Linked DNA regions of Oryctolagus cuniculus. The protein of the gene in region 2 purifies or fractionates together with the protein of the main gene of each other region. This does not show direct contact. Links are inferred from orthologs where the notes say so. Each region holds a gene or a part of one and is shown on either strand. Other genes may lie near its edges.

What was found.
Region 1: the proteins of FBXL4 (region 2) and BNIP3 purify together in Homo sapiens (affinity purification with western blotting; 4 studies listed by BioGRID, with this or other methods). This does not show direct contact. The link is inferred for Oryctolagus cuniculus from reciprocal best matches to the Homo sapiens genes FBXL4 and BNIP3.
Region 3: the proteins of FBXL4 (region 2) and BNIP3L purify together in Homo sapiens (affinity purification with western blotting; 4 studies listed by BioGRID, with this or other methods). This does not show direct contact. The link is inferred for Oryctolagus cuniculus from reciprocal best matches to the Homo sapiens genes FBXL4 and BNIP3L.
Region 4: the proteins of FBXL4 (region 2) and CUL1 purify together in Homo sapiens (affinity purification with western blotting; 4 studies listed by BioGRID, with this or other methods). This does not show direct contact. The link is inferred for Oryctolagus cuniculus from reciprocal best matches to the Homo sapiens genes FBXL4 and CUL1.

The regions. Positions count from the first base shown.
Region 1 is NC_091446.1:1,009,641-1,017,049, reverse strand, and holds the end of BNIP3 (BCL2/adenovirus E1B 19 kDa protein-interacting protein 3), read right to left. Parts: intron 6,036-7,409; coding exon 5,885-6,035; intron 5,387-5,884; coding exon 5,302-5,386; intron 3,774-5,301; coding exon 3,667-3,773; intron 3,601-3,666; coding exon 3,451-3,600; intron 2,032-3,450; coding exon 1,986-2,031; 3' UTR 1,351-1,985; downstream 1-1,350. UniProt on the Homo sapiens protein: Apoptosis-inducing protein that can overcome BCL2 suppression. May play a role in repartitioning calcium between the two major intracellular calcium stores in association with BCL2.
Region 2 is NC_091436.1:72,838,589-72,845,997, reverse strand, and holds part of FBXL4 (F-box/LRR-repeat protein 4), read right to left. Parts: intron 4,775-7,409; coding exon 4,429-4,774; intron 1-4,428. UniProt on the Homo sapiens protein: Substrate-recognition component of the mitochondria-localized SCF-FBXL4 ubiquitin E3 ligase complex that plays a role in the restriction of mitophagy by controlling the degradation of BNIP3 and NIX mitophagy receptors.
Region 3 is NC_091433.1:47,855,606-47,863,664, reverse strand, and holds the start of BNIP3L (BCL2/adenovirus E1B 19 kDa protein-interacting protein 3-like), read left to right. Parts: upstream 1-3,284; 5' UTR 3,285-3,440; coding exon 3,441-3,540; intron 3,541-8,059.
Region 4 is NC_091434.1:174,805,959-174,813,367, forward strand, and holds part of CUL1 (cullin-1), read right to left. Parts: intron 4,694-7,409; coding exon 4,643-4,693; intron 4,454-4,642; coding exon 4,363-4,453; intron 3,723-4,362; coding exon 3,559-3,722; intron 1-3,558. UniProt on the Homo sapiens protein: Core component of multiple cullin-RING-based SCF (SKP1-CUL1-F-box protein) E3 ubiquitin-protein ligase complexes, which mediate the ubiquitination of proteins involved in cell cycle progression, signal transduction and transcription.

The DNA.
Region 1 (7,409 bases), on a different chromosome or scaffold from region 2:
TGTGCCAAATGCCAGCCCCCCCAGGTCTGAGCTGGGCAGGGCTGGGCGCTGTGTGGCCAGCAGACTAAAGTGGCACTGCCAGCTTCTCACTTGTGCAGCCGAGCAGGACAGCGTCTGTGGGAGGGAACGGACCCCGTGTCCGTCCCCAGGCCCACTTCCTCTGCACCCCACCGTACTGACAGCGCACCCCAGAAGCCACTCGGCTTCCTGGGAAGCCTGTGGTCCACACTCAGATGCTCTGCACTGTCCCCGGTGCCGTACGCAGTGTGGACGACGGAGGTGGGGGCAGCGGAGACGCCCGCGCTCCTCGCTGGATCACCTGTGCCTGCGTCCGGCTCGGCCCAGGTTCCTGCTCCTGCAGACGCTGGGAGCCCTGCGATGAGCTGCAGCTCACGGGTCCATCCGTGAGGGCGCTGCCTCAGCACAAAACCAGGGCAAGGAACTGCTTTAACCCACGCAGGCGGAGTTCACTTCTAACCTTTTGAAAACTTGCACACATGGATTTCAGTTTTGGCACCAGATTTACTTGAGGCCGGCGCCGCGGCTCACTAGGCTAATCTTCCGCCTGCGGCGCCGGCACACCGGGTTCTAGTCCCAGTCGGGATGCCAGATTCTATCCCGGTTGCCCCTCTTCCAGGCCAGCTCTCTGCTGTGGCCAGGGAGTGCAGTGGAGGATGGCCCAGGTGCTTGGGCCCTGCACCCATGGGAGACCAGGAGAAGCACCTGGCTCCTGGCTTCGGATCAGCGCGGTGTGCCGGCCGCAGCATGCCAACCGCGGCGGCCATCAGAGGGTGAACCAACAGCAAAGGAAGACCTTTCTCTCTCACTGTCCACTCTGTCAAAAAAAAAAAAAAAAATTTACTTGAAAGGCAGTTACAAAGAGCCAGAGAGAATCTTCCATCCGCTGGTTCACTCCCCATTGGCCACAATGGCCGGAGCTGGGCCGGTCTAAAGCCAGGAGACTTGGGCATCTTCCACTGCTTTCCCAGGTCACAGCAGAGAGCTGGATCGGAAGCAGAGCAGCCAGGACTCGAACCGGTGCCTGTATGGGATTTCGGCATTGCAGGCAGCAGCCCACCCGCTACACCACAGCGCTGGCCCAGCCCCAGCACCAAAATACTCCTCCCCAAACCTGTCACTTTGAAATTCTTAGAGTCTGATACTCAGAGCAGATTCCTACAGGTGGGTCGTGTCACTCGTCTGTATTTCCAGAGAGCCCGCCCATCCGGCTGCTCTAGCCCCGGCCCCCGGCCCCCTGCCCCCTGAGCCCCACTAATGCAGGACGGAGAAGGGAGGACGGGCCTGGCTTCCTGATGTCGATGTGAAACTGCACATGAACACAGTACCCTCTGAAGGTTTGGCAAACATTTATTTTTTTCTATTTCCAGTCTCTTAAAAGTAGACAGATTTGCTTTACAAGGACACCGGGGTCAAGCACAAAGCAGTGCAGGAGGAGAAGCGAGGGCACCCGGCCGACCCCAGCGCCCAGGGAGCAGCGCCTGGCCGACGGAGCACGGGGTGGGGCTGCACCTGCCCCCACCCCGTGTCTAAGCATGACTTAGCAACAATGAGCTTAATCAAGTGTCTTCAGTAGACGACCTTATCCATTAAATGCAGCACATTTCCTACAACGGTGTGAATGTAAGGCCACGATTCTGTTCTAGACAGACCCCTTGCTGTGCTGATTTCCCATCCACATCACTCCCTCGTCTGCACGTCGTGTTGACTGGATTCACGTGTCAGCTCCACTTCTCATGCTATAGGACATCATGGCTGAGTATTAGAACTACCTACCAGATATTTCTACCTAATATCCTAAGAAAACTGGCAACCAGACCGGTGCAGGCGGTACTCATCAGCCTGACATGCGCACTGATCGGTTCCCGCACGGCCCGCGTCCGTTCTTGCACTCAGGGAACCGCGCAGCCGCAGCGACCCCCGGGTGAGCGAGGGCCACGTCCACGTGCACGTGCGCGTCCACGTCCTCAGAAGGTGCTGGTGGAGGTGGTCAGACGCCGGCCGATGTAGATGCTGAGCGGGAAAGAAGGCGGTTAGTCCCCCGCCCGTGGCGGCACCGCCTAGATCTGTTACACAGGACGTGAGGCCGCCTCTCCTGTGAACCCCCACCGAGCGCCAGCTGGGCACAGGGCAGCGCGGTTACCCTGCGCCAGGCGGGCGCCCTGCTTAGTGCCTGCCGCGGCCGGGTACAGGCCAAGTCGCCCAGCAGGGCGGGCCGGCCTCACTCTGAGCCACCTACCAGCTTCTGCCCTCAGTCCTGGGGAGAGGCGCCCAGGGCGTGGGGGAGCGGGTGGGTGCCCACCCGGGGAGGCACGAGGAGGGCTCTTCAGGGAAGGGCAAGCACAGAAGCCCGGCCGCCCGGGCCTGCAGGAGCGCGCGCGGGCTCTGTCCCCGCGTCAACAGGAAGCTGCTGGCACCGCCGGGCTCCGTGGACAGAGCTGCGTCCCGATACGGCCTGTCCAGTAATGGAACCTGCCTCCGGGGACCGTCCCCCAGCTGTATGGAAAGCTCGGAAATGACACTCGGACTCCCTGGTGACACGGGCGCAGCCTGGTGACTCCGGAAAGCTCTGCCAGAGCCGTGGAGCAGCGTGGGGAGGGGCGGGCGGGCGACCCCGACCCAGCGGACAGCAGCTGCGGCCCAGGAAGCAGAGGGGTGCCTGCCAGGGGAGCCAGGAGGAGGGGTGCATGGCCCTGGCCAGAAGTCATCTCCACGGGCGGGGAAGGACAGCCCCACAAGGTCCCGCAGGACGGGAAACAGACGGCCTCGCTGGCCACGGGGACGGGGTGGGGGAAGGGAGGGGCTCTGCACCCTGCCCCAGGCACGCGCGCTCGGGCCAGCCCAGACGGAACACGTGCGCACACCAGACTGGGCGAGCCCGAGGGAGAGCGCAGCTGGGGGTCCCGTCAACCCCCCGCTCTGCCGCGCTGCTCGAGCTGAAGTCAGAATTATATCCATCTTTTCTTTGACAGACAGACACACACACATCTTGCACCCACTGGTTCGCTGCCCGGATGCCTGCAACAGCCCAATCTGGAGTGTGGAGCTCAGTCCAGCCTCCCGTGTGGGCGGCAGGGGTCCAAGGACTTGGGCCATCGCCTGCCCCTCCCAGGGAGACCAGCAGGGACTGGAGCCGCGCCGGCCTGTCGGGGTCACAGGCTACAGCCAGGATGAAGTGGCCGAGCCGTCCAGCAGGGGGAGCCAGCTGAGCGCAGGCAGGCGCCACGTGCTGTGCGCGAGGGAGGCTGGCTGCACCACACGCGTGATGCACGCAAGGCAGACGGGACCCCCTGCTTGGACGCCACGTCCTCGCGGGACAGGAGGCACGGCCAGGTGTGCGGGGTGGGGACACAGGCTGTGTGGACACGCCGCCGGCACAGCCGGGAGCTGGCCCCGAGGCCTGAGGCCGCGCGGGCCGCGGGCCGCACCTACCCCAGCCCGATGGCCAGCAGGTGAGAGAGCAGCAGCGACGGCAGGAAGACCTTGAGCACGTCCGCCGAGAAGACGCCCCCCTTCCTCATGACGCTCGTGTTGCGCATGCTCAGCGCGGCCGCGCGCCTCGGGTGCCTGAAGAGGAGCTGCCTGCAGGGACAGGGAGGTCAGCCCGCGCCTGCGCACCCGGCGCCCGCCAGCCGAGCCCAGACTCACTTCGGGGGGACGTTCTCCGGCCGGCTTGACCAGTCCCATATCCAGTCTGAGTTTTTCTTTAAGATGCTTTCCACTTCTTTCCTTCTCTCAATGAAATCCTCCTCGGACTGAGAAAACGGGAAAAGCAGATCAATCGCCACATCCACAAGCGACAGCGTCCACTGCACCCAGCGGCAGGCCGGCAAGCTCGGAGGGAGCCAGGCGCTGGCGGCCCGGGGGACGAGCGGACAGAACCCGCCGCGAGGTCCTGCCCAGAGCGCCCAGCCTGGACTCAGCGGGATGGCGGTGGCGCCAGGAGCGGCAGCCGCGCTTCCAGGGAGGCCCGTGACGCGAGCCCGCCAGAGACGCGCGTGGAGGCACAGGCAGGGGAAGGTCCTCCCGTGGGACGCGGAAAGCAAAGAGGTCTACAGACCACCGCGGTTTAAGCTGCATTTAAAAAAATCAGGTATCTGTACAAAATACTAATTAAAAGGGATTTTAAATGCAGGAATGTAGGTGTTTTCCTTTTTGCATTTTCAAAATTCCCCATCTAATCATGAATTCCTTTTTAAAAGCAGGGGAAATAAACAATGCGAACACCCACAGCGTGGGTCCACCGAGCCGCACTCGGGCCTCACAACCGGCTCCTGCCACTCAGTCTCTGCCCGTGCCAGGGGCGCCGCCCCGGCCAGTGCCGAGGGTACCAACTGCCTGCTAGCCCCGCCTCCCCCCCAGCTCTGGGGGTCACTACAGACAAGCCATTTCAGAACACACACACTGCATCTGACAAGCGCAGCACTGCACTCCTGGGTACACTGAACACAGCACTGCGCTCCTGGGTACACTGAACACAGCACTCCTGGGTACACTGAACACAGCACTGCACTCCTGGGTACACTGAACACAGCACTGCGCTCCTGGGTACACTGAACACAGCACTCCTGGGTACACTGAACACAGCACTGCGCTCCTCGGTACACTGAACACAGCACTGCGCTCCTCGGTACACTGAACACAGCACTCCTGGGTACACTGAACACAGCCCTGCGCTCCTGGGTACACTGAACACAGCACTCCTGGGTACACTGAACACAGCACTGCGCTCCTGGGTACACTGAACAGCCCTGCGCTCGTGGCCCGAAACCCCAGAAAGACCTGGGGCTCACACTCAGCCTTCAGAGGGTCTGCAGCCCCGCCCACAACAGCACCGAGCGCCTGGTGCACCAGGCTGAGTTCAGGCTGGTGAAGCGGTCTCACCCTGGGCTCCGGCCGCTTAGTTGCCAGTGCTAAGCCCCGCGCTGGGTGCCAGGAAGGACCCGGTGTCTGGAGTGAGAAGGACGCCCAGAGCCACAGCAGGAGGTAACTGACAGCCAGTGAGGCCCAATCGGCCAACCAACAGCGGAGGGAACGCGCCCAGCAGGGGGCTCCCTGCCACCCTTCGACCTCCCCCGGGCCGCAGGCACAAGGGAACGCTGTCTCGCTTGCCGGGAGTCCCTGGATGGTGGCAGGGCACCCACGCTCCACGTTCCTCCCTCCACGCCTTCTGTGGTCAGCTCAGTGATGTCCCTCTACTGGGGACATCCCCACCCAGAGCCCCTCAGAGCCAGGCCTGTCCCGCTCAGCGCCTCCGAGGCTGCGGCCCCTTCCCGAGCCTACCTGGGAGCTGGTTTTCTCCCCGGTGCTGTGCGTGTCCGTCTCAGAAGCTCTGGTAGTGTCCTGCGGTGTCTGCGAGCGCGGCGGGCTTGGGAAGGTGTGAACAGAATGGAAGAACAGACGGCCACGTCAACATGCTACCAGAGAGGCAGGGCCCGTTCGCAAGGACCGAACTCCTCCGTCTTGACAGCGGAGCAAGTCAGCCACCGGGTGTCCCCCAGAAGAGGCGGGGGGCTGACTGCCGCCGCCAGCTCCGTGGTCCGCCTCCCGGCTCTGGGGAGCACCCAGCTTTAGACCAGTGACTCGGCCCCGCCCTGACCAGGACCCGCAGAGGCGTGTGTTCCTAGAGACCGACCATACTGCAGCTGCGAGAAGGGCGGGGCTCCGCTGTTTCCGGGGGGCTCCTTTGCTTTATTTGGTCCCCCCACAGACAGCCCCAGGTCAGCTTCCCCACCAGGGGGCGCAGTCCCAACATCAGAGCTGTTCCCGAGTGCAGCCCCCTATCCTGGAATCCAGGCATCCCGTTGATCCATGGACCATCTCCCCAGGGCAGCAGTCCTGCCACGCGCGGCCTGTCCACGCCTACCTGTCACAGTGAGAGCTCTTGGAGCTACTCCGTCCGGACTCATGCTGGGCGTCCAGCAGGATTTTCTCCAGGTCACCATTATAAATAGAAACGGAGGCTGGGACGCCGTTCCCGTTGCCATTGTTGCTGAAGTGCAGTTCTACCCAGGAGCCTGCGGGACGAGGAGGGAAAGGGGGCGTGGCTGGAATGCAGCCAGCCTGGGACTGGAACGTGTACCCCTGCAGGCCTTCCATTCCCAAGAGGTTCCCCGGCGACACACAGTGACCCATGTCCGTAGCACACACGCCCCCACGCAGCCTGGGCTGGCCTCGCCCTCACTCCCCGTGCACAGGCAGCCCGTTACCAGACAGAGGTTCGGTACCTGTCCAGGGTGCACGCCTGCACGGGCTTCGGCTGGGCACCTACTGAGCAGGAGGATTACTGGGCTGAAAAGTAACGTGTGCTCGGGTTATGAGCAAATGGTCCCACTTTCCCACACAGCCGACGGGGCCGCGGCGCCTCACGCCGAGCCCCTGCGCTTTACCTGCCGTTTCACTTTTTTTTTTTTTAAAGATTTATTGATTTATTTGAAAGAGTTACACAGAGAGAGAAGAGAGGCAGAGAGAGAGAGAGAGAGAGAAACAGAGAGCTCCCAACTGGCCTCAGCGGCCAGAGCTTCAGCAATCTGAAGCCAGGAGCTTCTTCCAGGTCTCCCACGTGGGTGCAGGGCCCAAGCACTTGGACCATCTTCTGCTGCTTTCCCAGGCCACAGCAGAGAGCTGGACTGGACGTGCAGCAGCCAGGGCACAAACTGGTGCCCTATGGGAGGCCGGCACTGCAGCGGCGGCTTTGCCCTCTGCGCCACACGCCGTGCCCACTGGCGTCTCACTCCTAATGAGGGTTTCGCTTCTCATGACTGTGGGTCACCTGGACCTCGGCCTGCACCACGGCTGTGTGCTCCCTGCACAGAGCCTTTCGCACGTGATGCTCCCCTGTGGCTGCTCCCCCCATGCACCCACCTGCGTGCCACCCCCACGCGACCTGAGACGGGACAGCTGCGTGCCGCCCCCACCCGACCTGAGACGGGACAGCTGCGTGCCACCCCAACCCAACCTGAGACGGGACAGCTGCGTGCCACCCCCACCCGACCTGAGACGGGACAGCTGCGTGCCACCCGACCTGAGACGGGACAGCTGCGTGCCGCCCCCACCCGACCTGAGACGGGACAGCTGCGTGCCACCCCCACGCGACCTGAGACGGGACAGCTGCGTGCCACCCCCACCCGACCTGAGACGGGAAGCTGCGTGCCACCCCCACGCGACCTGAGACGGGACAGCTGCGTGCCACCCCCACCCGACCTGAGACAGGACAGCTGCGCGCCGCCCCCACCCGACCTGAGACGGGACAGCTGCGTGCCACCCCCACCCGACCTGAGACGGGACAGCCTCGCTCCCCTGCACTGCGGTGCCCCCTCGTCAATCCAGCACACAGACAGACGGCGGCCGTGTCACACGTCTGCTTGACTGTATAGCAAAGATCTGCTCAC
Region 2 (7,409 bases):
TTATATATCCATAGTGTATAAAAGCACCAATTCACCTGTATCCTAATCAGAACTGGCATCAAAGTTTTAAATTTTGTCATTCAGAAGGGGAAAAAATTAAAAAGAAAAAAGTATGGGACTGCTTTTATTTGCAGTTCTCTATGTCTTTTAATTACAGAAATTTAACCCTTTGCTAATAAAGCTGCCAATGTTTTCTTCCCATTTGCTCTGCTCCTGAATTCTTTTTGTTACATCTTACCATAATTTCTCTGATATTAATAGCCCGCTAGGTAAAATAAGTTTTTTAAAAATTTTTAAGGTATATGTGTTGGAATGCACTGGTTTGGTTACAAATGAGAATAAAGCTAAATGCCCACCCATCACTCTTCCAAAATTTTCCTGGTATTTTCATTTCTTCTTAAGGTGAACTTTTCAGTAAAAAAATTCTGGTTGCATTTTAATTGGGACTTCATTGAATGCATGGGTACCAGAAAGTTTTCATGGAAAACTGGAATTAAATAATGCTTATTCTGGTTCAAAAATATTTTAAATCTATGCATAGATTTTTTTTCATAACACATTTTCCATGAACTTTTTGAAGTTAATAGATTGGGGAAAACTGACACTATATTCTGTGCTCCTTCTCAAAGGTATGGTAGGATTTATCATTTAATGATCTTTTACGTTTCTAAAACTATGATTTTGTCTATTAACTTTGTAACCTGCCAATTTACTTATTGTTTTTGGTTTATGTTCCTAAGAATTCTCAGCTATAATGATATTGTCTGCAAATGATAACTTTTACAGCCTCCTATCCAAAAATTATGCATTCTCCTTCTTTCTTGTGTTTACTAGCATTGGTTTACACATCCAGAACAATTCAAAATAACATTGTTGTCTTATTCTTGCTTTTAATTCCAATGTGTCCCATAAACAGGAGAAAACATATATATGTAATTTCAAAATTTTTAGTAACTACATTTCTAAAAGCAAAAAGAAACAGATGGAGTTAGTTTTTAGCATATGCAATTAAAAGTGATCATTTCAACATGTAATCAGTATAAAATTACTGAGATATTTTACATTTTTTGAAATGTCTTTGAAATCTTGTGTATATTTTGCTTTTTCAGCATATCTCAGTTCAGACTAGCCATGTTTCAGGTGCTTAACAATATATATGACTTGTGATTATCATATCCAACAATGTACTCCTAGTGTTTGATAATTAAATATGATAACTTGGCTATTATATCTGAAAACAGCCAATTAGTAGATAGATTAATAAAGTATTTCCTTTTTAAAAGAAATGAATACAATTTGATATCTATATAGCTATCACTTGTTAAGCAGTTTTGCCACCTGCTGAGATGATCACAGGATTTTCTTCTTGTTGGCCTGTACCGTTATTATTGTGTACATTCTCTGATATGCAAACACCCTTGAATTCCAGAAATGCTGAATGATTTCTTATAATACCCTTTTAAAATCATCCAATATGCTATATTTAAATTGTTTACATATATAAAACTGTTCTGTAGTTTTTGGCATACTATCTTAATCAGCATAACACTAGTTTCACAAGAAATTAAAAACTTTTTTATTCTATGAAAGTTTAGATACTACTATGTTTTTTTTTCTTAAATCTTAGCAAGAATCCATGAATCATCTGAACTTGGCAATAGTTGGGGCACTTCTCCAACTATTTTCAGAATTAAAATTTTGTTTAATATTCAGTTATTTCAGTATAATTTCTAAGCAGTTAGTACAAAGAGATACCCTGATCTATCTATCCTCAAAATTAATTCTATTCAATACAATTATTTAAACTATGAGAACACGGTATCATTGGACATATTTAAATATGGTTTAATTTCCCCTTGAAATAATGTGTTACTTTCAAAATAACACTTTTTAAGTATTTCTCTTTTTACTCACTGTGAGATCATTCAATGTTTCACAGTATTACTCCTTACATGGTACACTTCTTTCACCAAGGCCAACGAACGTCCCTCCAGAACTGATCCCAACTCCTGGTTTCTTCTACAGGACTTTGTTGTACTGACTAAACTGCTTGCATGTACTTGAAGGTTTTTGTCTCGACAGGTTTCTCCCCTTCAGCATATAAACATGCTGAAATCTCTCCCAACCTTCATCACAAACAGAAACTTTTCCACTCTGTGGCATCCTCTAGCACTACCCTTATCTTTTTATCCTTTAGAAGGTAAGTTATAAGACATCATACCTGTAATAATTTTATACTCTACCTTGAATGGATAAAAGAGTAAGTTGATTTTTTTTAACTTTTGCGGTGAAATGGGATTAAAAGATAACTTTATTATTTCAGCCATACTGAAATACTAGAGGCAGACACGGTTTCATTTACTTTTGCCTCTGTACACTCTCCTTCCTTTGCCTAGATTCCCCTCAGTTATTCACTTGAATTTTATGTGTCAAGCATTTTTAATAGGTATGGTTAAAATTCTATAAATTGTTTAAAATATGTTCACTGAAGTTAAATTTCTAGTTGTGAGAAGGGGTATGAATCCAAGAAGTGACCCACTGTCCTAAGGCAATGCCCCCACTCACGACTGTGAGAACATACCCTCCTTAAAGCACCAAGGAGCCACTGTGTCACTGTCTCCTGCTCGTCTCTCACCAACTTATCCCTCATCCCATTAAGAACAGACGATTTGTCCATTCTGTCAATGATGCTTCCTCTTCATACCTCAGGAACTGATTCAGAAGGCCTGGATGGGGTCCTGGTCCCATGCCTTTCTGAGTAAACCACCTACCATATATTCCTTCAATTCATCTTTATGTGGCAACTTTAGCTATTCACAGGATAAACCACAGCATTTTAGCTGTAAAATGATGACCAGGTATTATAGTCACTATCAGGCATTTAAGAGGCTGTCATATTGTTCCCTGTACGTTAAATTAGTTATTACAATGAAACTGGAAATAACCACCAGTTTGAAAGGAGGGTAATTTAAGTTTGTTTAAAGTTGAGCATTGGGGTCGACACTGTGGCATAACAGGTAAAACCGCCATCTTCTCATATGGGAACCTGCTTCTGTCTCAACTGCTCCACTTCCAATCCAGCTCCCTGCTAATGGCTTGGGGAAAACAGTGGAGGATGGCCCAAATGCTTGGACCCTTGCTCCCATGTGGGAGACCTAGAAGAAGCTCCTGGCTTCAGCCTGGCCCAGTCCCAGCCATGGTGGCATCTGAGTGAACCAGTAGATGGAAGATCCCTCTCTCTCTGTCTCTGTCTCTCCCTCTCTCTCTGTAACTCTGACTTTCAAAATAAATAAATAAATCTCTAAAGAAAGGTGTATCGGGGCCAGTGCCATGGCACAGTGGGTTAATCCTCTGTCTGCAGCATCGGCATCCCATATGGGTGCCAGTTCTAGTCCCGGCTGCTCCTCTTCTAGTCCAGCTTTCTGGTTTGGCCTGGGATAGCAGTGGAAGATGGCCCAAGTGCTTGGACCCCTGCAACCACATGGGAGACCAGGAAGAAGCACCTGGCGCCGGCCGTAGCGGCCAGTTGGGGAGTGAACCAATGGAAGGAAGACCTTTCTCTGTCTCTTTCACTGTCTGTAACTCTGTCAAATAAATAAATCAAACAAACAAACAAACAAACAAAAAAAAAAAAACAGAAAGAAAAGAAAGGAGTATAAATTTTTCTTAAAAAGAAAGCTGGTGCTATTTTTAACTGCGCACAGTAGTTTTCAGCAGGAGACAGAAACGTCTAGCACTGCTCCCACCCCACGTGATATCTGGAAATAAGTGAGGAGAGGTTTTGGTGTCACATGGCTTTAGAATGCTACTGGCACTTGATGCCTGATAGCCAAGAATGTGAAATATACTGCAGGGGTGTTCCTGTACAACCACACATCCTGAATACAGGATCAGTCTAGACACATAAAAAAGTATTTCCTGGTGGTCTCTCTGAACCTACCTAGGCCTAAAATTGTAGGTTGAAGAACACAGAATACAATTTGAAAAGAAGAAGAAATAACACTCAGAGAAACTGTGGACTTCTAAATGAAATAAGCATTCATCTCACAATCTTTTTACTCTTTTATAATTAACAGCAAATTATATTTGACATGACTTTATAATCACATATTGCCCATACTTACATAGTATAATTATGAATTAAAGTAGGCTGAAATTTATTATTAGCTTATGTATTTGGTTCCTGTTAAACAGTGATATAATTTATTTATCTAGAATCACTAAAGTTAATCTAAAACAAAAGCAATGAAATTACTTAACATAATTTTGTATACTTTTTCCAAAATCAAAATATACAACATATCAAATTATGTAAACCTTATCAATGCCTTTATTCCTCTGATATCTAGCAAAATAAACATAAATATCAAAACACTGAAAAGTCTACACTGATATATCCAATATTACTACTGTATATTTTTGGCTTACCTCATATGGTAGTTTATCAAAATATCCATTATTTGGCCCTTCCTTGAGGGCAACACTGCTAAATTTTTTGTTAAGATTGTCCATTCCACAACCAGCCTCTTCAGGATAGTCTTCATCCTCTAGATCATTCATGTCAATAAGTGAAGTCTTGAGAGACAGCATTGGCTTGTCCTTCAGACCATGTAGCACAACTGCATCTAATTCAGTGTAATAATCCAGAAGAGAACTATTTACTTCCAGTCGGATAAGATTTGTGGGAAAATTTATCTGCTTAATACAAGGTTTAAACTGGCGAGCCTGGGAAGCATTCACCTTCGTAGGTTTCTCTGACCAAAGAATCTCCCATCTGCCAAAGAAAGAAACTTCCCTATAATACAGTTTAGAATGAGATCTATTGGTTCCTTAAGGTTATGGCCCCATCCCCAATATGTTACAGTGTGAAACAAAGGCATCAAAAAAAGGGAATAGAATCAAATATACATACTGCTTACAGGACATAGGAAATTTTTATAAATAAAACCACGTAGGCCTAGTTACTGAATTTATTGTTATTTTTAACAAGCCCTCCCAAAACCCTGTTTTTTTGTTTGTTTGTTTGTGTGTTTATTTGGTGTGTTGGTTGGTTTTTGCAACTTCACAATGGTCAGTTTAAATACTAGAATAGCTGGTCAGAGAGATCTGAAAAACATCCAGTTTTATAGAATAAGTTAACCTTAAAAAGACAGAACACAAGACAAACGTCTTTTCTGTGTGTGCATCCTAAACCAACTGTAGAACAAAACCCATCATCTTGCCTCATGAAGGTTTCCTTCTCAAGTTTTTCTATGACTGTTACTGGCTTCATACAAACTCAAAACTTCCATATATTCTTTTTAACTTTCTCTTTCATCATATCATTAAGTTTTGCCAGATTTTTCAGGAGACTGTCTCATATCTGACTTCTCCTGAATTTTCATTTTTGTCATCTTTTAGTCATCCTTATGTCCCCAGTACCTAGTAACAGGTGAATAGCACTCTCCCTGTCTCTCCAAATGAACCCCCACTCCCCAGCCAGATTAATCATCATTTTAATCATTAATCATACAATAAACTCAATTCCACTTTTGTGTCTTTGTTCATGTTGTCCTCTCACAATGAAATGGCCAACCTACTAAGACCTGCCCATCTAATTTTTCCAGTCCCAACTCTATGTAAGTGTTCTTATAAAACTGTTTCTCAAGATTAAAGATTCTTTACAATATGGTATCATTATATAGCTAACACTCTCATGTATGTCATAATTACTATTTTTCTAATATTATTTCCTAATAAACAAAAAATTAGAAACAGATAAAAATCCTTCAATAAACGTCTTTCTTCTATTTCTCATAATTTATTCTACTATTGGGATTTTTAAGTAAATATTTTATGTCAAAAGATAAATTTTTACAAACTGCTTTAAAAAATTTATGTCTATAGTATACAAAAAGAAGCACTGAAAACGTCATCTATTTTTCAAATTACCTCCTAATTTCACAGGCAGTCACATCTCCTTATGATGTAATTTATAATTCACTAGTTACTAATAACACTTAAGATGTTTCTGTATGTTCATTCATCATGAGGCTTCCCCTACTCCTTGTCAATAAACTATTGTTTCATTTCTTTGGCCCCTTGACCTACTGAGATCTAAGTAAAAACTGATTAACTATGCCAAGATGCATAGGAAGCTAAAATATGCAAGAGTGTGAAACATGAGGGAGAAATCTGAGCCAAAACTATAGAGGCCATCAATAAACAGACATCCTAATAGTCTGGGGGCCAAGAAGGTAGGTAGCGCTAATTTCAGAAGAATGGAGAAGGAAAGTATGAAACTTTCTACCTTTAGGAACAAAAGCATCAAGGCAAAAAACACAGAGGGGATTCCAGCCAACATATCATCAATGGAATCTGGAACCACAGAACAGGAAACTGTAACAGTAGGAACTTTTACAGTTTCTAGTACTTTTATAATCTCCACATAATTGATGTTTCTACTGATTCTCTCCTGAAAATTAGGAACAAAAGCCACCAAACATAAACAGTTTTTGAGTATTTGCATCCTTGACAGCACAAAAGTAGGAATGGATGGATTGATGTTGGTGGGCAAATGCATGCCTGATTTTGGAACACCTATTTCCAAGAATCATGGAGTAAACTGTAGAATGTATAAAAAAAAATTCAAACCTTGATTTTATTCCTCCTTTTGTTGCTATTGCAAAATGACATTACCAGATGATATTGGAGGAATTCCTCATGCCCAAGAAAAATGGACTACTCAGGATCCTGTGAAATAACTGCCTATGGAGTTCACAACACATGTGGAATAAACCAGCTTATTTTTATTGTTTGGCTTCAAGGAAGAGTTTTGTGATACTTAAGAGAAACCTTGAGAATGTAATACAGAAATCACCTCCACCAGAGACTTTGCAATAAATAAATATGCAGACAATACATGTTCCTCATGTATAATTTGAAATACATTATAATGTAAATTAAATTATAAAATTACAAATATAAGCTTAAAGAAAGGCACTGATTAGAGAATAAATATTCTATTTTAATAATGCATTAATCTACCAAAGACCTCTCCATTTCCTTTGCAGAATATGCAAAAGAGACAAGGTGAAGATGATGCTCTAAACTGACACCCTTAACATTTCTACACGCTTAAACATATCAGGATTAATGGTATTTTAACATCATTTTTGCTCAAGACTTCTATGAAGAATGAACATTACGTATCTAGTCAAACATACATCAGATGATATAAAAATGATAGCATACTTAAAGCAGAAAAAACAGGATCTTAATAGTTTTTAGAAAGATTTTTTGGGGCATTAATAAAAATATTTTCTGTGAATTCTGTAAAAAGTGTTATAAAAATAAAATTTAAGGGTGATTGTTCAAATAAATGAGATTACCAAAGAGATAAACATCATGTGATTGCTAAAATTTACACC
Region 3 (8,059 bases), on a different chromosome or scaffold from region 2:
GGAAATATAGAACTCTGATGACAATAACTATGTAAGTAAACACAAAAGCCAGTGGTGTTCTTTCAGTTTGTAACTCCTCTTTCTTCTATATTTAAAAAACAAATCCACAAAGTAAATCCAGGGGCCGGCGCTATGGCGCAGCGGGTTAACGCCCTGGCCTGAAGTGCCGGCATCCCATAGGGGCGCCGGTTCGAGACTTGGCTGCTCCACTTCCGGGGTGCTTGGGCCCCTGCTCCCACGTGGGAGACCTGCAGGAAGCTCCTGGCTCCTGGCTTCAGATTGGCGCAGCTCGGGCCATTGTGGCCAATTGGGGAGTGACCCAGCAGATGGAAGACCTCTCTCTCTCTCTCTCTGCCTCTCCTTCTCTCTCTAACTCTGACTTTCAAATAAATAAAGAAAAATCTTAAGAAAGAAAGAAAGAGAAGGAAAGAAAGAAAGAAGGAAAGAAAAAAAGGAAGGAAAGAAGGAAAGAAGGAAAGAAGGAAAGAAAGAAAGAAAGAAAGAAAGAAAGAAAGAAAGAAAGAAAGAAAGAAAGAAAGAAAAAGAAAAAGAAAGAAAGAAAGAAAGAAAGAAAGAAAGAAAGAAAGAAAGAAAGAAAAGAGAGAGAGAGAGAAAGAAATGGAGAGAGAGAGTTTGGGCTGGTGCTGTGGCGTAGTAGGCTAAGCTTCTTCCTGTGGTGCTGGCATCCTATATGGGCACTGGTTCTTGTTCCCTCTGCTTCTTTTCAGAACCACCTCTCTGCTTATGGCCTGGGAGAGCAACAGTGCAAGATGGCCCAAATGCTTGGGCCCCTGCACCCACGTGGGAGACCTGGAAGAAGATCCTAGCTCTTGGCTTCAGATCGGCCCAGCTCCAGCCATTACAGACATTTGGGGAGTGAACCAGCAGATGGAAGATCTTTCCCTCTGTTTCTCCCTCTCTCTGCCTATAACTCTACTACTCAAATAAATAAATTCCTTTTTTAAAAAAAAAGGAATCTCATGGGACTGGCGTCATGGAGTAGCAGGTTAAATTTCCGCCTGAAATACCACCATCCTGGCTGCTCCACTTCTGATCCAGCTGCCTGCTAAATGGCCTGAGAAAAGCAGAAAAAGATGGCCCAAGTGCTTGGGCCCCTGCATTAACATGGGAGGCCAGGATGAAGTGCCTGTCTCCTGGCTTTGGATCGGCGCAGCTCCAGCCGTTGTGGCCATCTCGGGAATAAACCAGTGGATGGAAGACCACTCTCTGTCTCTCTGTCTCTGCTTCTCTGTAACTCTGCCTTTCAAACAAATAAATAAATCTTAAAAAAAAAGTAATTTCAATTTCATCTACTTAAGCCTGGAGAAAAGAAAATATTGTAATTAGTTTTTATAAAACTAGCAAAGGATTATAACAAAGCTCAAAAAATATTATGAGATGTTTAAATCTTTTGAAGAAGTGCCTGAAAGGAAAACAGAACACAAAGATATATGACAGTCTGCTCTGGGAAGACACTTTTGCAAATATGTCCATGGTCCCCTCAATTACTATATTATTTATTTATTTATTTGAGAGGCAGAGTTACAAACAATGAGAGGGAGAGACAGAGAGAAAGGTCTTCCGTCTGCTGGTTCACTCCCCAAATGGCCGCAACGGTGGAGCTGCACTGATCTGAAGCCAGGAGCCAGGAGCTTCCTCCAGGTCTCCCATATGGGTGTAGGGGTCCACAGACTCGAGCCATCTTCTACTGCCTTCCCAAACCACAGCAGAGAGCTGGAGTGGAAGAGGAGCAGCCGGAACTGGAACCAGTGCCCATATGGGATGCTGGCACCGCAGGTGGAGGATTAACCTACTGCGCCATAGCACCGGCCCCCTGACAAAAATCTTAAAAGAATTTGCAAGAGGGAACCAACATTGTGGGACAGTGTTTGAGTCCCAGCTGCTCTGGCTTCCAAAACAGCTCCCTGCTAATATGCTTGAGAAAGGAGCTGAGGATGGCCCAACTATAAAATACTTGGCTCTTGTCTTAGGCCTGGTGCAGACCTGGCCATTGAGGCCATCTGGGGAGTGAACTAACAGAAGAAAGATTTCTCTCTCTCTCTCTCTCACTCGCTCACTCTATCTCCCCTTTTCCCCCTTCTCTGTCACTCCGCCTTCCAAAGAAACAAATAAATCTATATAAAAATTTATTTGCAATAGGATTTGACCTACTAATCCTTTAAAAAATGTTTAAGTACAAAGTTTTTCAAATAAATGAAAACACTGGAAGAAGAGTTTAATATTCATGTATTACCTAGCTTCAGTAATCGCCAACACATGGTCAATATTTGGCAAGCCCATTTTTTCAGTTCATCTGAAGGGTAATCAGTCATTTTCAAAAGACAAATGAAGAGAGGCTCTCTAGTAACCAGCCCTGAGACAGACTTGTTTCTGTGGGCATTTAGACCATGCAATTTCAAATCAGGGTTGAAGGGAGGACTTAAAAATCAGTAAATATTGTTGGGTCAATTGGTTACAAAATTGGGAAGAATTGAAGTTAAATAACATGTGAAAATTGAATTTTAGGTGGACTGGGGCCTAAATATAAAATTAAGGCTATAAGGGAATTAGAAAAAGTTACAAGGGCAGGAGGAGTGGATTCCTAATCTTGGTTTGAGCCAGGGGGACATGACATGAAAACAATACAGGAGCAATTAAAACATCTGCAGAGCGAAGCAACACGAAAGACAAGTCACAAATGCCACCGCAGGCAACAGGTCAGCCAGCCCAAGGACACCAGGGGACCGGGCCTCTGGAGACAAGAGAGCGAAGTAGACGGGCTGTTTAGGAACAAAGGAATTTAGTGCCACCCACATACCAGACACGTGGCTTCCCACGTGGTGGCCCGGAAACAGCCGCGTGGGGAATGCGGCGATTATTTTCTTCACTGTGTTTTCCTGAAGGGATTTTTTTTAACCATGATGGAGTGTTACGAATCCTGTAATAACCAAAAGATAGCCCTATATTGTGCCCTGCTTGGAATGCTGATGTCCCATCAGGCTTTCGGCTTCCTGTGCCGCAGTGAGTCCTTACAGGTATTTTAAAAATTAAATGCTCGGAGACTGACAGAAACAACGAGCGCGGTGTAGGTGTGGGAGGAGTTCTGCTCGCGAAGACACCTGCATTGCACTGCTCGCCCATCCTCTCTCCCAGTGCCATCTGCATCACTCACTCCAAATTACAAGAAGGAATTCAACCCTCCCGCGCGTCAGCGTGACTCCCGCGCCCGCACGTCCGGGCCCGCACAGGAACGCCCCTGCCCCGCCCAGCCCCGCCGCTTGTTGTGTTGTCATCACGTGGCTTGGGCGGACCCTGACGTCAGCTACAGGGGAGGGACTGCGCAGGCGCAGAAAAGGGGGCGGGGGACTCAGCTTGTTGTGTTGCTGCCCGAGAACCGGAGACGGTCCTGGTGCGGCCGCAGCTCTTCCAGACGCCCGACCATGTCGTCTCATTTAGTCGAGCCGCCGCCGCCCCTGCACAACAACAACAACAACTGCGAGGACGGTGACCAGCATCTGCCCCCACCGACCGGCCTCAACAGTGAGTGCTCGCCGACGGGTTCGCTGAAGGGGATGGGGGAGGAGGAGCTGCTCCGGCCGCCGCCACCAGCGCCGCGCGGGGGGCGGGAGGAGAAGGCAGCCCATTGGTCAAGCCCGAGGATGTTCTGCTGACTGACAGCTCCCGTCACCTGTCAGGAGGAGGCGCTTCAGTCTTCCTCTTGGCTAGTCTCCGCTCCCTCCTGGGGTCTTGGACTGGGTGCCAATTGTGGTCGCTCTCCGGGAGGGGAGGAGGGTGGGGAGAAAAGGGGATCGCGCGCCAGACTGCCCCTGGGGCAGGGCAGATCCCACCTGTAGGCCCCTGAAGCAGAGCCAATCGGGGCAGGGAGGGGGCGGGCCCTGGGGAGCGGGGCGGAAAGGTGGGCGGAGCGGGCCGCGAAGGGGACGTGGGCAGGGATGGGGACGTGCGGCGGGGACGCCGGGGGATGGACGCGCGGCGCGGGAGGGCAGGGGAGGGGCGGCCGAGGACGTGTCGGGGAGCAGGTGTGCCGTGGGGCCCCTGCCGAGCGTGCCCCGCGGGCCGGGCTTGCCCGGGCGGGGCCCGGCAGCCCTCGGTTGCGATCCTTTGTTGCCACATGCCGGTCGGGGAAACCCATTTGGCAATTTCGTGGTGACTCGAATCACGTGTGGGGGTGCACAGCCTGTGCCTTTCATTTCTTTTTCTTTGCTGCTGCTTTGTGAGATTTGCAAAGTTGCTCAAGTCTTTTTCAACGATGCAGTAGCGTGCACAGTAAACCTGTTTTAAGATGAGCCCCACTTCCAGCCCACGCGGAGTCTGGGGCGATGGGTATTCACACATGGGATTTAAAACACCCATCACAGGCACACGGGTGGTTGACAGTGGCAGGGTGGCGCTAGGACGGACCCCGGGTACTTCTGACAGCCTGGGGCTCAGACATCTTGCCAGTGGTGGTGAGAGCTCCGAGGTTCTTGCCTAACCTTTTTCTGTAATTTGCTCTTAGGAAAGAGGTGGTGGAGGCAGCCAGCATATGGCCAGACCGAGTCGCTTAACAACCATTTGGATGCTTAAAGGTCACACCGTCTCTTTCCTAAGAGGAAAGCGCTCCCAGCGTGGCCAGAACGTTATTTTAGGGAAGAGAGTCCCTGTCCCCTGAAGAGTGGGCATGAAAGCTGGGTATTTTTAGATGCTTTCTCTGCCTGTGGCAGGTGGTCGGTCGTTGATGGACTAATTCTCAGTGTTGACTGTTTTTAAACTTGTAAGTGTGTATGGAATGTTCTAGAATGTAAGATCTCTGCTGTTTCCCCTGCAGTAAGTTAGGAGTAGTGGAAGTCTTTAGATCTTACTTGTTGGTCACGTTTTGGCATACATGCTTGGAAGCGTGGATCTGGGGATAGAAACGGGGTTTAGAGTGAGGGGGCTCGTTCAGGTTGACAGCTGGCCGGACCTAGAGCTGAGGACCCCCCTTCAGCTCCTCGGGTGCCCCATCCGGGACCTTCCCTGGGGTCCCAAGTCCCTGATCACGGGTGCTTCTTACCCTCAGCATGTTTTTCTGTCGAATGTACATCGGTGGCTGCCTATCTTTATAGTATTCTGTTTCTTAATTGTGCTGTTTTCATATGCGTAAGAAATGTGTTTAGTATGTGTACGTGATTTCCCAGAGTCCAAAGGAGTTTTAATGTTCCTGTGACCCTTTACCATAAAGCAAGAGGGAGGGTTGAGCTGTATATGATTGTTTATCTTGGTGTTTGATGTCTGGCCAATCAGTTCCTGCTACGTTTACATTAGCTGTTAGAGAAGTGGAAGAACACCCCGCCTGCAGGTGATACCAGATGTTGCTTTGGGGAATCCACTAGGTAGAAAGTGTTTTATTTGGGGGTAATGTGAGCTTTTTAAGTTACTGCAAAACTTTCAGATAATACCATACTAAATTACTCCTCTCTTGCTTCTTCCTCTGATCCTTTTTTTCTCCCTCGTTACACAACACTGGACTGAACAAAACAAGAAGCCTTATTGATTCCTTCAAGTGATTTTTGGGCATCTGGCAAAACAACTTATTCAGACATTTAATACTATGAATTGCTGATAAGTTGGAGTACTCTGTTGGGTAAAGCACGACTGTGAAAACAGGAGATGAAACTCATCGTGATTATCTCTGGTTAGGATTTTATCTTTGGTCTAGGGGTCAAAGCAGAGTTTAATGGCAATTTATTGAAATACTTAAATAGTAAAGCCTTTCTCTGAAAGGTTTTTTTTTTTTTAATTTATCATTCATTCTAGGGCAACTGTGTTTTCATAACAAATTAGGGCACAAATATCCAAACTCTTTCTCAAGATAAAAAAATATTTTCTGGTTCTTAGTTTTATGCTTTAAAAAAAACTATCATGTTCCTTAAGAATATCTGAATAAAAGTTTGTCATAAAACTCAGTATAAGGAAAATCATAGAAGCAGTGTAGTTCTTGTGGTTTAATGTGGGAATTACAACTTTTTTAAAAAAATTAATTTATTTGAAATGGAGAGAGACAGACATACCCATCTTCTGGTTATTCCTCAAATGCCTGCAACAGCAGGGCTGGGCCAGGCAAGGGCCAGGAGCTAGAACTCGATCTGGATCTCCCACACGGGGCAGGCACCCAGCACTTGAGCCATCACCTGCTGCCTGCAGCGTGCGCATTAGCAGGACGCTGGAATCAGGAGTGGAGCCAGGACGCTAACCCAGGCACTGTGATACGGGATGCGGGCAGTGTCTCACTGCTGTGCCAAATGCCTGCCCCACAGACTTTGTCTTTCTTTTTGAACTCCTTCAACCACAGTGTATTTGCTTCTCCAGTATGCCAAGAGGGCTGTTGAGGCTGTGGCACATGGACCGTCCCTGCCTCATAATAGTGTTTGGAATAAGTAAGAAACCACATGTACAAAAAAGACTAACTTGTACCCAAATGCCGGTGACGATTGTTCTGGTCTGGATTCCAGCATCAGGTACTTGAGACAGACAATCGAAAGGCTTTGACTGAAGAATGTAAACGTAATGCCATCCCCTGGTTAGGGTGAGTGACATTTAGGGCCTCAAAAATGGGACAAAAATGTGAAAAGTGTTTTTTTTTTCTCATTCTCCTTGACTCTCAGCTTCCCTACTCCCATTATTGAAAGATAATTGAATTGGCAATTATAAAACTGTAAAGAGCGTACAGTGTACAGTAATGAATGTAACCCACAGTTATTGGACCAGCCTTTACCTGATCAAAGACTTAAACTAGAAACTATCCCATGTAATTGAGTGTATGTATAAACTGGCTTAAAGGAACACCTTGCCGTTTGTAAATAGTCTTTTAAAATAATAGAGAAGGCTTCCAGCTTTGGGTTCTTAAGCTGATTCTTAGGAAGAGAATTCACTTTGAGGTTGCTTTTTACTTGTATTGCTTGGACAGCACAGTCCTCATATCTTGCCTTGTTTCTTTTCCAAGTTAAAAGGGACTCTGTGAGGATTGCTAGTGGGAAGCTTACAGAATTCGGAGGCTGTAAATCATGAATGAACTAGATGAAGGGAAAAGGCATGTGTAGTTCATCTATTGAGAAAGACACATTTGTTTTTCAGTGTTTCACTCTAAAGATAAAGACAATATTGCCAAATTATCCTCCAGAATGCCCTCTGAAGCCCTGACTATAATGACAGAATATTAGAAAGAAGAATTCGGGATAACAGTTTAAGTATAGTTTATAAATGATGAGATGCAATGCAGTTGTTCAAAAGAATAAATGTTAGTATGTATTGACGTTGAAAGTTATCTGTGGCCAGCACCCATTCAAGTCCTGTTTGCTCCACTTCTGATCCAGCTCCCTGCTAAGGCACCTGGGAAAGCAGTGGACAGTGGCCCAACCACTTGGGCCCCTGCGCTCACATGAGAGACTGGGATGGAGTTCCCGGTGTTTTTTAAAAATATTTGTTTATTTTTTTGAAAGGCAAAGTGGAGCCCACATTGTGGCATAGCAGATTAAGCTACCGCCTGCAATGCCAGCATCCCATAAGCATACTGGTTCAACTCCCAGATATTCCACTTCTGATCCAGCTCCCTGCTAATCTCCTGGGAAAGCAGTAGAAGATGGTCCAAGTACTTGGGCCCCTGCATTCCCATGGGAGATCTGAGGAAGCTCCTGGCTCCTGGCTTTGGCCTGGTGCAGCCCCAGCTGCTGTAGCCATCTGGGGAGTGAACCTGCAGATGGAAAATCTCTCTCTGTATCTCTCATTCTTTCAAATAAAAATAAATAAATCTGTAAATATATGTGTATATATATATAGTATATGATATACATATTATATCATTATATATATAATACAAATATATATATAAGAAAGAAAGCAGACAGATTTTTCATCTGCTGGTTCACTCCCCAAATGGCCACCACCAACCAGGGCCAGGCTGAAGCCAGGAGCCAGGAACCTTCTCTTGAGTCTTCCACGTGGGTGGCAGGGGCTTTCCCAGGCACATGATCAGAGAGCTGGATTGGAAGCGGAGCATTTGGGACTCAAACAGATGTTCCAG
Region 4 (7,409 bases), on a different chromosome or scaffold from region 2:
CGAATACCTGAAACTCTTGAGGCTGGGCCAGTCTAAACCCAAGGGTCCAGAATCCCACCTGCGTCTCCCATATGGGTGTCAGGGACTCAAGTAACTGAGCCGTCACATGCTGCCTCTCAAAGTGTGTATCAGCAGGAAGCTGGATCAGAAGCAAAGCTAGGGGTCAGACCCAGGCATTCTGATACGAGATGTGGGTGTCCCAAGCAGTGGCTTGGCCAGTATGTCATGCCACCTGCCCCAGATAAACTTCTGGTCATCACTGTACCTGGCAGAGAATTATAATAGAACATCAAGATAAAATCCAGATAACTGAGCAAGATTACACAATCAAAGACTGCATCTTTTGAATTTTATCTGGGTCTCAGTAAAAACAAAAGGAAAAAAAGAGGTAAGCAAAAATTGGTAAACAAGGCATTTTATTTTTAAAGTTTTAAATTAGAAGGGAAAGCACTGGATCTAGTGGTTCAAACAGCTCAGTCCCATACCACGGTGGCTGGGCTTGATCCCTGCTGCTGGCTTCCGATTCCAGCTGTATGCCCATGCGGACAGCACAGTGGAAGCAGTGGTGATGGCTGAAGGCATGGGTTCTTGCTGCCACACAGATCTGGATTGAGTTGGCTCCAGTCCCAGCCGAGCGCTGGCCACTGTCGGCATTTGGGGAGTGAACCAAGAGATGGAGACTTGCTCTGGCTCTTCTTCCTTCTGCCTCTCAGATAAATTTTGAAAATTTAAAAATCTTGGGGCCGGCGCCGTGGCGCACTAGGTTAATCCTCTGCCTGCTGTGCCAGCATCCCATATGGGCGCCGGTTCTAGTGCTGGTTGCTCCTCTTCCAGTCCAGCTCTCTGCTATGTCCTGGGAAAGCAGTGGAGGATGGCCCAAGTGCTTGGGCCCCTGCACCCGCATGGGACATCTGGAAGAGCATGTGGCTCCTTGCTTCAGACTGGCGTAGCTCCAGCCATTGAGGCCATTTGGGGAGTGAACCAACGGAAGGAAGATCTTTCTTTCTCTTTCAGTGTTTGTAACTCTACTTGTCAAATATAGAAAAATTTTTTTAAATAAAATTTAAAAATCTTAAAAAAATGTTACAAACCTGAAATCATGCAAAGTTTTAATAGTTCAGATTAATCTCAACCATGTGAGATAGTAAGACACCATGAAAATACTGCCATGGCTTAGGTTTGTTTGCTGATCAAAGCCACCCTTAGAAAGACAAGCCAAGGAGTCTCAGATATTCCCACTAAAATTCTCCTGCCTACAGAGAAGAGCATACTGAGGCCACCAGGGAATCTGTGAATCTAGCCCCAACTGGCTGCTCAAGAATATGTCTTAAAAAAAATCAATACTTGATATCTCAATATTGTTCATGATATGTTTTACTGTAATTCCTGATAAAATGTATGTTTTCATATAAACATTTCTTCCCAAGTTACTGAGTAACATTTGTTCTCTTCTGCCACGTGGCTTTGTACCCTCTCAGGCACATACTAGGGGTTCTGTGAGATGTGTGTATGTAACACCAAACACACCGGGCTTGCTACTTGCCACACACTATTCTAGCACTTTGTCTTTCTCTCTCTCTCTCACACACACATACACTTTAAAATTATTGTAAATTATTTAAAAATTAAAGCTTATTTAATCTTCATTACCTATTATTATTCCCTTTTTATAAATGAAGAAATTACGGAAGAGAAAGGTTCAGGTCGTCCCCTAAGTAAATGGCAGAGTACGGATTTAAAATTAAGATTCACGTCCCAGTTTGAGACGAAAGGTTACAGAATAGAACTGCTCACATGGCTAAATTCTCATTTCATGTTTATAGATTCTTTGCATTACAGACTCTGAGAATGTGATGGAAAGCATGTTTGGTACGATCCAAGCAGATATGAACTGAACTTTTAACTTCTCTAGAAAAAAATACCTTTATGGGAACCAGGAAGCAGGAAGCATATTGCTACCTGAGGCGGGGCTCATGCTGGACTGAAAATATTCAGGCCATTGGATGGAAACGCTAGTTTCTCAAGTTGCCTTTAGCTTTAGGGCTGATTTTAAAAGCAGATTTCTCTGCTTTGGGATGCCTACAAAGCTCTGTCCTATAAAGCTGGTCTCCTTGCACCAGAGAGCTACCACCGTCCTAAGTACAGAGAGCTGACTTTAATAATCATCATAATCTACTCAGAAGCCTGAAGTAGGACAGTTTTGCTCCCCCACTGCATACATGTACTCTGATAACAGGTTCCACCTTAAAAACATATGGTTTAAAGGAGTCACCACACAGGAGACTTCAGCAAGAGATATATTCACTGTCAAACTATAAAATGAAATAACAGGCAATGCTAAGATTCAAAACAGATTACGTTTCAAAAGCTCATCTGTCAGGCAGTTGTTTGAAATGCTGAATGAACTGGCTGGGTTCCAGGTCAGCATACAAAGTCCATTTAACCCCAAAATACACATACACAAGGAACTATTAATATTTCAAGTATAATACTTCTGAACCAATCCATTTTTTCTTAGATTCTGAGCTATCAGTTTTTGTTGTTATTCTAAGCCCCAATTATAACTGCTATCTCCTATGAGACAACACATTCAGAACACCACAAACTGGACAGGACTTTATCGCTTATTTTCTCACATCATACAAGAGGAGGCGAGTCTGCAGTCCCTCACCAGGTGCACAGGGAATAAGATCAAAGCAGCCACCAGACCAACAAGACCCAGACTCCCTAGAAATCTAACTCATCTAGTTCAAGGATCAGCAAACTTCCACGTAGGCCAGATCCAGCCTACCACCTTTGTTTTTCTTCTTAAATACAGATGAAGTGGTACTGGAACCCAACCACACCCATTTATTCACAGGATGTTACGTCTGCTTTTGCCTGCAGCACCAAGAGAGACCACATGGCCCACAATGCCTCAAGCATTACTATCCAGTCTCTGGCAAAAAACGTTTGCTGACTCCTGACACAGGTCTTTCCTCAGAGCCCAAGTCCAGGATTCCTGTATTTCTAAGAAAGTGAATACAGAACAAATCTGTTAGAACTTGGTCATATCACTCGGTACAGAAAAGGACTGGAAACCCTGGTTTAATCTTAGGTCTTGTCCCACATGAGAAACAGGATCCTGCTGTGTCAGAGACTACTCCTCTACCTTCAACCTGAAACTGTTATAGATTCTCAGGGAGACATGTTAGAAGAAAGCAAAAACTTACTCACAAATCTGAGAATATTTGTATCTGAAAATGTTCTCACTAACATGGTAAGACCGAGACAACCCTAAGATATTTACGTTCTAGGAAAAATAGTTCAAAACAAAAGTCACACAGCTTTTATATATCTGTAAAACAGCCAGAACTTTCAGGCATGGTCAGCAAACAAATTTATAAAAAGCTCCCTGGAGAATTAGAAGAAGTATTTACACCTGCTGAAGACATGCTAGGACAACAATGCCCAACAAATGACTTGTGTGAAGAAAAGTGCATATGCTATTTTAAACAGTAACTCATCTGAATGGCACATTTTTAGCTTGTCTACTTTAAGTACTATATTTAAGCTTACCTTTTTCATATATTCGGTAACTGGGTTCTGTTGCAAGAATTCAGTACTCTCTCTGGTATAAAATCTTTCTGTGTCAGCCAAAAATTGAGATTCAAAGGATTCTTTATACACTGTTAACGTAGGGCCCTTTGCAAATGCATCATCTTCATTCAGCCCCAATTCCACTAGAAATAAATATGAGCTGCATTTCAATTACCCTATTTTTTGTTGTATTTCACAGAATATACTTAGATAAAAGATTAAGTTAGGCATAAAGGTAAATGTGAATGGCAGAGCATAAGGTAATTATTATTCACTAATAATAAAGTGCATCGCTCAATAGAAGAAAAAAGCCAGGACACACAAAAATAATTGACTCATACCAGGTATCCTTTAGAATTATCATGAAGTACATTTGGAAAACTTCGTATTTCCAAAAGCAATAAAAACCTCTAATTTAAACTTTCAAAGAAATACCATGCTATCCAAGGTTTTAAATACTGTGTTAACTTATCAGTTCCTCAATGTTTCAAGCTGATAGATTTCTATTTATCATTCAGTTCAATAGCATTCTATCATTAGCCAGTAGCTAATTATGAGATCAGAAAACTCAAATGTCTATTTCATTAAAGTTTCTCAAAGGCATAAGGATCAAACAACTTTTAAGAGGGTAAAATCAAGTAAAATATCACCAAATAGGAATTATGAGTACCTCTGTAAATGCTAACAGTCCTGATGATATTAAATGTTTTTTAAATGAATCTGGTATGGCACTGTTGTGACTGTAATTTGACATGAAAACTCCAAATAACTGAAATTATTTACCATAAGACTGTACAACTCCACTAATCAGTCTTGTATTGATGGTTTCACCATTTCTTTCCTTTTCAATCAGTTTTAAGACAGCATTTGTTACCTTTAGAAAGGAAACATGAAATATATTAGAGATTACAGTATTTAATATTTAATATCCCATGTCCCTTAAACATTCAGAGCCATTAACAATGTGAGATAAGGGATACTCTCAAGATGTTCTAAAGGACAGAGGCAGGAAGCTGGCAAAGGATCATAAAAGAGAACACACAAAGTTCTTCAGAGTGGGTACCTGTTTATTCAATGGCCTGAACAGACAATCTCTCCAAGTCACCAATGCAAGCTGGACAGAAAAAAAGAAAAAAAAAAGTGTAAAATGCCTATACTCACTGTTTTCCCAAGACATCTGAAGTCACAGGAAATAACCTGAATACAAGATGTCATCAAAATGTCCAGATTATAACCTGGCAAAAATTTATTACCATGATGAAATCAGACTACTGCACGAGCTAGAACTTCAAAAGGTATCAGCTCACATTTTAAGTTTAAAGGAAATTTTGCATTTAGAGAGACAATTCATACTGGCTTAAAAGACAACAGTGGATTCAATCTATGAATGTGTTCCCTGGATCAAATAATTTTAATATTTGACCTAAAAGAATAAAGATAATTCCATTTATCATCATGGTTTCCTAATAGTCTGCAAAATAAATTATAGACTATAAAAATCTATCAACTTTCAAGTTCTTTTTTGTGGTGATGGTATACAGATGCACACAAATATAAATAACTTTAAATTTTACATACTTCAAATGGATGTGGTTTACTATAGATTATTCAGATTCCTACTTCTCCTCGCATGTGTTTATGCATATGTGACTTCTTTTTAATGAAAACATTCAAAGATGATATGGTTTATTTTATCCATTTCTCTAAACTCCCCACAGGAGTCATGTTAGCAAATTAACTAATAATATAAAACATTCTCTGAAACAGGAATATTAGAATTCATACATGGGTATTATTTGTTGGGAGATTATCCAGTTAAAATGAAATTCAGATTTTTTAACACAAGAATACAAAATGCTGAGAAGTTCATTTAAATATAAACACAATCAGCCTTACTTTTCCCAAATTTAACTAGAGGTGCAACTGGGTTTATATTCATATTGTATTTATGAAAAGGTTATATGCAAATTTAATCTATATAAAGAACTTCAAAGTAGCAATTCTGCTAAAAATGTAAGAAATAACATGAAAGCAATATTAAAGGAAATATTAATAACACATAATATACACTCGAGCCTAACATAACAAGGTAGAATGCGTGGGTTTTGAAGGTAAATTAAAGAAAGGTGAGCCATGACAGACATACTCTAGAAAGTACCCTCTACTTCCTCTGTACTTTCTGTAACTATTGTTAAACATAGTACAGGAGAAGTTAAAAACTAGGGATTTTTAAGAGTCTGTGGTTCAAGAGAAATCTCAGACATGGAAAGCCAAGACACTGTGGCAAAAAATGACCTCAATGAAAGATCTGAGGGAGACCTTGGTGGAAAGAAGAGGCCATCAAAGGAGGTATCTTTCTCTGAAGGGAAGAGAGAACTTCCACTTTGACTATGGCTTTGTCTAAATAAGGTCAGAGTTTGTGAACTCAAGAGGCTTCCATAGCTTTGGCAGCTCCAGACAAGAGTCTTGGGTGATTACTGGCGTCATAAATAAGAGTGACAATTGCTAAATCAACAATGGGAGTCACGGTGTACTTACTCCCCATGTAGGATCTCTGTCCTTAATGTGTTGTACTATGAGCATTAATGGTAAAACTAATCTTCAAATAGTACTTTATACTTGTGTATCTGTGCAAACTGTTGAAATCTTAGTAAATATTAAGTCGATCTGTATATAAAGATAATTTAAAAATGAATCTTAATGAAGAATGAGATAGGAAAGGGCGTGGGAGATGGGATGGTTTGTGGGTGGGAGGGTGGTTATGGGGGCAAGAACTGCTATAATCCAGAAGTTGTACTTTTGACATTTATATTTATTAAGGGCCAGCACTGTGGTGCAGTGGGTTAACGCCCTGGCCTGAAGTGCTGGCATCCCATATGGGTGCAGGTTCAAGACCCGGCTGCTTCACTTCCTATCTAGTTCTCTGTTGTGGCCTAGGAAAGCAGAAGATGGCCCAAGTGCTTGGGCCCCTGTACCCACGTGGGAGACCCGGAGGAAGCTCCTGGCTCCTGGATTCGGATCAGTGCAGTTCTGGCCGTGGCAGCCAAGCCAATTGGGGAGTGAACCAACAGATGGATGACTTCTCTCTTTCTGCCTCTCCTCTAACTCTTTCAAGTAAAATAAATAAATCTTTAAAAAAATTTATATTTATTAAATAAAAGTTTTCTATATAAAAAAGTCTATGGTGGTGTTGTAGGACACACAGGGTGTTTTAGGGCAAGCAGGTTTCCGAGAATAAATCAGTCAAAACCATGCAGGTCCTACACTGAGAGCACTGAGCCTTAAGAAAGGATTTGTACGTGGATAAGAAAAGCCTATTCGTCATTCCACCATGGATACAATTTCAAAGCAACATGTTGTACATGATAAACATACACAACTTCTGCCAACTGAAAAAATGTTTAAAAAGAAATAAAGAAAAAAACGAGTAAAAAACCTCAAAAAAGCTAACCCCAGAAAGTTTAAAAACTTAGTAATGCTGGAACAGGGGTCTGGTATAGTAGTTCCCACTTCGGACACCTTTACCCCACAGGGTGCCAAGGTCCATCCTGGCTTCTCCCCCAGTGTCCTGGGACGCCTATATCCCACAGGGTGCCAGAGTTAACCTCAGCTTCTCTGCTTCTCCCCCAGCGTCCTGGGATGCCTATATCCCAAAGGGTGCCAGGGCCAACCCTGGCTTCTCTGCTTCTCCCCCAGCGTCCTGCTAACTTATACTCTGAGAGGCAGCAGGTGATGGCAAAGTACTCAGGCCCCTGTTGTCCCTTTGGACTGACTTCCAGATCTTGGCTTTGGTTTGGTCTAGCCCTGCCTGCTGTGGGCCTTTGGGGAGT